Linked DNA regions of Mus musculus: region 2 is reported to be linked to region 1. Evidence: microRNA targets listed by miRTarBase, many of them from high-throughput screens and not tested one by one. Region 1 holds a microRNA gene; the other region holds the end of a gene's coding sequence.
The links. The annotated mature microRNA mmu-miR-375-3p reads UUUGUUCGUUCGGCUCGCGUGA and lies in region 1 at 1,700-1,721, shown strand. An mRNA with a match to its seed (bases 2 to 7 or 8) in the 3' UTR can be bound and repressed. Matches are read on the target gene's strand: a 7mer-m8 pairs with bases 2 to 8, a 7mer-A1 pairs with bases 2 to 7 and ends in A, and an 8mer does both.

Region 1 (3,129 bases):
CGAGGCCCCGCATCATTGCCCTACCACCAGTCAGCATGCACAGGTCAGGGGGTTGGGCTTAGCCTCATTGGTTGGAGGAAGGCAAGCCAGGAGAGGCATTCAGATGTGATTGAAAGCCTCACCCTTTCTCTTTTGCAGGACAGACAACCTCTTGCAGATGTCACAAGGGGACGTGCTCTGCTCTGGGATGCAGCATCCTGACTGTTTGCTGGTGTCAGCATCCAGCCCCTCTAACATGACTACCTAAATTGCCCCTGGTCCCTTTTTTTTCTTACTGTTCTGCAAGTAAACCATTAAGTTCCACACGCCAATCTACCTGGCTTTTATTTCCTCCTGCCTGGAGAAAGAAGTATGTTGAGATATGTGGAAGGTGAGAGTTTTTGATGTGGACCACAGAGACCCATCTATTTAGAAATGGGAGGGTACATTTCCCGTTGACAGGCAAGAGTTCTTCTTACTTGCAGTGAGGTGTTGTTCTTAGTTTGGCCAGTGGAGGGCGCTTCAGGAGAGACATAGCTGATCTTTGCAACAGTGTAACTTGGTTAACAAAACAAAAAACAACAACAAAAAAAAACCCAAAAAACAAAAACAAAAACAAAACAAAACAAAAAAGAGGATTCCTAGGCCTGGTGGGCTAAATAGGTAGCCATGGAGATAGAATCTTCCCACATGTGTTCACCAGCACTTCCAGGGCCAACCTAGTTCCCTGAACTATGCTAAGAGGTTAGAATGAAGCTGGGCTGTGGTGGCGCAAGCAAGGAAGCCTTTAATCTCAGCACTTGGGAGGCAGAGGCAAGCGTATCTCTGTGAGTCCAGCCTGGTCTACAGATCTAGTTGTAGGACATAATAGCTACAAAAGGAAACCCTGTCTCAAAACGAACAAACAAGTTTAAAAAAAAAATGAGGTACATCGCAGAGGCCAGATTTATGATCTGGGTACTTTTCGAAGACAAGGTTTGGTGGGCTACGGATGTTACTAAATAACCTCCATTGCAAACCACTCCTGAGACCCAGAGATGTTCTGCCTTCGCTAGGAGGTCCGCCTCTGTTTTCTCCCTAAGCCCTCTGGGCAGCCTCTGTCTTCTGCTCCTCCCTGAGCTCAGAGCCAGGTGGGTGGAAAAGTGACATCTGGTGTTGTTCCAGAGGCGCTCCTGGTCCCGGTACCCTCCCCTGCACCCCTGTCCCTTCCCTCCCTCTCTCACCCCCCCTACCCGCTGCCAAGGCCTCTGAGCGAGGGGGGGGGGGGTGTGCTCCGCCTCCATGAGTCAATATTTGCCCCGAGCAAACGGGCGCCCGGACAGGTGTGTGTGTGTGTGTGTGTGTGTGTGTGTGTGTGTGTGTGTGTGTGCAGGGGCGGGGACTGAACTGGCAGTATAAGAGTGCTCTGAGTCCTGGCTCGGGCACAAGCTTCGGGGCGTGGGCTGGGGACGAAGCCAAGCCTGGCTGGTTTGGGCGGAGGGGCAGAAACGCTGTGGCGGGTGGCCCGGGAGGGAGGGGCCGGCCAGGTGTGCACCTGTGGCGTCCGCCACTGCCGCCGACGTGTCAGCCACCGCGGTGCTCAGGTGAGAGCGGCGGCTAGCGGGAGCGCTGTGCACTCGAGGAAGCTCATCCACCAGACACCGCCGACGACTGCCGCCCGGCCCCGGGTCTTCCGCTCCGGCCCCGCGACGAGCCCCTCGCACAAACCGGACCTGAGCGTTTTGTTCGTTCGGCTCGCGTGAGGCAGGGGCGGCTTCTCAGCATCAGCCTTGGGGCCGGCCAGATCGCCATGCAAACACCAGCCGCCGTCGCCACCGCCACCATATGGGTCGCAGAGACTGAGCACGGTCCCCCCAGGGGGGAGACAACCGGTTCCCATCAGGCCCCGCCTGCCCTGCCCTCAGACTCTGAGCTGCCAGGCATAGCTCGCTGCAGGGTAATGCGGGCCGAGCAGGCTCCAGCAGGATGGCCGCAATGGGCTGAGGTCTGGAACAGATCCCCTCCCGAAGGGGGAAACTGCGATTCTAGTCCTGCTCTGTCCCAGAGAATTCTGTAGCCTTGGGGGAGTGTTATCAAAAAGTCTTGGTTCCCCCATTTGCAAAGTCAGCCGCCTTTCTCACAATAGTCAGGGCCTCCACTAACCTCTTTATTCTGCTCTCTGGACCCCTAGCCACTCTGCCGAGTCCCTTTAACCTTTTAACCTCACAGTGCCAGGGTTGTGCAGTGTGGGAAAAATCTGGGAGAGGTGAACTGAGGTCTTCTGGGCAGACTCAAATCCACTCCACCTCTCAGACTCTTTCCACTGCCACCTGAAATTTTCACTTTCACCTCCTCTCGGGTCCGTGTTCCAATCCAACCATATCTGAGATCAGCAGACAGCAAAAAGGACAAACAGGGTCTTCAGGCACAGGAAAGAACTCACCACCTTCCTCAAAACCCCCTAATCTTGTATTCTCTGCAGCCCAGTCAGACGGGCTAGACTGGGTCTAGGTAGCACACAGCTCAGCCAGAGTTCGTTTGGCCATGGATCACTAGCCACAACCTAGATCTGGAATGGGCCACCCCCATCTCAATTACTTTAAATGCTGTGACCTGGCTTGCAGGAAGGGGATTTTCTTACACTCTGGCAGAGGAGCTCAAACCAAGAGCTCCATACAAGACCCAGCAGGGAGGTTAGGCCAGGGTTGAGTGAGGCTGTCCTGTGATTCCAGGTGCCTTCCATGCCCCCCTCATGACAATGTATGGTGACAAAGGCTCTCATACAGCAGCAAGGAGCCCCTGGCTGGTTTCCCATTAGGATAAAGAAGAAATGAAGGAGAGCAGTAACCCACACACCAAGACAGAGGCAATGCCAGGGAGACGGTGTGATAAATAAACCAAATTTTCCTAGAACTGCTGTCTTGTCCCATCGCCCACATGTGCTCTACTACCCAACCCCCTAGTTACCAGGAGGTCCCACTGGATCTGCTGAGCGCCTGAGGAATGTTTGCAAAGTGGTTCTGATGAGGAAAGGGTGGGTTCTTGATGGAACTAGTCCCAAGGCTAGACTAGGTCCAGGTGTCCTCAGATGGAGATGTGTAGCCCCCATCCTGGCCTCCCCGACCAGGTTCTCCCTGTGGAACTGTCTTTTCCCCTTTGCCCTTGCTGGCA
Region 2 (3,064 bases), not on the chromosome of region 1:
TGCATGGCATATGTAAGCAAGTAACAGTTTAAAGGACAGCAAGGAGCTATGTAGACCTAAGATCTATTGATACTCAAACTAGCTTGTGCATAGTAACAATTGAAAAGTTGATACACTGGCATATTGGTTAAGTGTTCAGGTGCTGTAAGAAACACCTAGAAAAGAAGAACTTCAATCAGACATACACAAGAGTCTTAGAATTTCATCTAGAAGTTAATCCCTCAGTCTAGTGGTGCTCTAAGTGGTCTTTCCATTTGGCACTTGGCAATACAGACAAACAAATAGGCAGTTTAATGTGATTTTATTATTCTTAGATGTTTTAGCTATTTTTATATAGATAAGAACACACAATATTGTTTTTAAGACTTTCAGTTTGATAAGTGTGTAATTAAATGCCACCATACTCTCAGTGTCCAAAGTTGTCTTCTTTTTTTTAACTGAATATTTGGTAACATGCAGAAGAGACTGACAAAATGGTTTCTATGACAACTTTTAATGAAAAGTTTACATAGAAAAGTGGGATACTAATTCAGACCACCAGTCTAAATCCTTGGTGACACCTCATGCTGGAAAAAAATTGTGAAATGTTTTAGACAGTTGTTTTTCAATGCTTAATCCTAGAGATTCAGAATTTTGACTGAAAATGCATAGAAGAGATCTTTTTCCCAAAGGCATGTTTACATACATTAATTTTCTAAAAGAAAAAAAGAAGAGTCAACATTTCAGTGGATCTCAACCTTTCTAATGCTGTGACCCTTGAATACAGTTGCTCAGGACCCCAACCATAAAATTATTTTCATTGCTACTTTAAAACTGTAATTTCCCTACTGTTATAAATTGTGATGCAAATATCTGTGTTTTCCAATGGTCTTAGGGGACCCCTGTGAAAGGGTCAGTCTATCTCCCACGGGAGCCACAGAGCACAGGTTGAGAACCACTTCTGGATTTGAATACATCTCAGTTTGGGATCTCATCAGCTTTTTATATAACATATGAAAAACAGATCCAGGACCACATCCTTCATATATCATATCTAAGCAAGAACAGAGACAATGGCAGACACCAGCATTTTTTCTTTAAGCCGTTTGAGAACAGTGCATTTGGCAGAGTGACACATTTGCCATATTGGCAGCAAAGGGTGTATCACATAAACAACTTAAGGTATGGAGGTGAACAAATTGTATTTATCTTTATCTTAATGCCAACGTAAAAGCTTCAATTTACTACTTGATTTCTTTACAAGATACACTGAAAAAATGCATATGAGGTAAGAACTATTCTTAAATGAAAACTGCGAATATTTTACAGATTATTTTGTTCGTTATGTTTATACAATGCACCATTCATTTCAGTCATTAAAACACCTTGCACCTGACATGGCATCTTCCATCTTAACACTCCTCAAATATGAGAAAAATGAATAGCTTCCACTAGTATAAGAAGTGGAATTTATAAAGTCAATATCACAAACAGGATTACAGACAGTTTTTCAAAGATAATTTAGACAGAGTGAAATGAGTGCTCTGCTTAATATAGCTAACAGGCTTGACACACGCCACCTCCCCTCACTGCAGCGTAGTGGACATAGGCACCTTTAGCACTTTCTACGGTGGCCTTCTGATCTCATCGTGGAGGTTTCTGGGAAACCTTCAGCAGCAGCGTTATCTCACGTCTCAGAAAACACGGTTAAAATACAAGTGCTACTCTCTAATAGTATGTAATAATTAAATAATTTGGGCAACATGTTATTTTTCAAATTTTTCAACATAAGGCACAGAGGAACATCTAACGGCCAGAAGCAGGTATATTACACAATAAATAGTGGACTTTGAGTTATCAATTACTCTTTATCTGAAGGAAAGGATGAGTAGTGCACACACACAGCGGGGTCATAGAAAGGTTGGGATTCGGGAAACTTTCTTTGTGCAGAAAGAATATTAATTCAAAAAAGATAAAAAATATTTCATATAAAATACATACCCTATTGTGTTACAGGTAGATAGAAAAAAAGAAAAAAATCAGAAAACAACAACAACAACAACAAAAAGTGAGGCACTTATATTAACAGTGCAGAAAGAAAGCATTGAGATTTTCTTTTGAGAAAAGCACCAAACCATTTACTTTAACTTCTGGGACAAAAACAGAGGTTAAAAAATATAGGAAATCGGTTAGTCCTGTAACTCCGTATTTGGTATACTAACAAGAATCCAGAAGTTCAAAGCTCCAAATACCTCCCTGTTTTTCCTGCTGAAGTTACTGAGCAGGGAACCCGAGAATTTTTCACAGTAAACACTGTGCACTCTGAGGTGCCTGAACTCCTCCCATGTGCTCCGTCCGAGCTCTCCCATCGTATAGGGAGCATCTCAGGTACGGGTTTTAAACTCCTTCTCTAAACACAAGAATCGAAATCTGTTTTGGAGAAAGTGTACTGATGTCCAACCCTCACAGTTCTGGTATCCTGTTCCTGAATGAATTTCATCCTGGCATGGGAGCTACAGGAATCCACCGGGTGTGATATCGGGAAGAGGCCGGGCTTCCGCCAGGTGATGGAGATGGCCAGTGGTCTGAGCAGCGTGGCCAATGCTGCTCAAGTCGGACGAATAGGTTTCATTGAAAACACCTCAACTCTGCACCTGAGAACAAACACAGCACAGCAGCTTGTTAGGATCTGAGGAAGACCTTAAAAACGACTTTTAGTCTGTTAGACCTATGGGTTGTTTCACTTTACAGTCCTGTACTGATGATGCTCATGGCTAAGTCTTTCGTCATTCAAATCACACAGAGGAAACGCTCACACACTGACTTCTTTTGGAAGATCAGGTTTTCTCATTAGTCCTACAAGATAATTTAAAGATGGTACAGCGAACGCTACAACTATCTCACTTCGTCTGCCTTGGGGCCTGATGGGAAATTATGTGACATGGGGTGTCAAAGGGTTATTCAGTCCTGCCACAACCAATCAAAAACCTGGAGGCAGTGAACTGATTCTATCCGAACTTCTACACAGCATTTCAGACACCAGCACTTTTGCCCAGATCTGGATTTTAAATGTTTCTTGCTATTC

Region 2: the mRNA of Ahr is a reported target of mmu-miR-375-3p. Seed matches in the 3' UTR shown: 8mer at 1,314-1,321.

The regions. Positions count from the first base shown.
Region 1 is chr1:74,899,253-74,902,381 of GRCm38, reverse strand. It overlaps Mir375 (microRNA 375), which reads left to right and starts at 1,661; the gene lies at 1,661-1,724. Cfap65 (cilia and flagella associated protein 65) reads left to right here. Exons shown (of 33, transcript NM_001039495.1): 32 at 1-43; 33 at 139-302. The coding sequence ends at 247.
Region 2 is chr12:35,498,068-35,501,131 of GRCm38, forward strand. It overlaps Ahr (aryl-hydrocarbon receptor), which reads right to left. Exons shown (of 11, transcript NM_013464.4): 11 at 1-2,633. The coding sequence ends at 2,622. Among named protein-coding and RNA genes, the nearest start is that of Ahr, 35 kb to the right of the region's middle.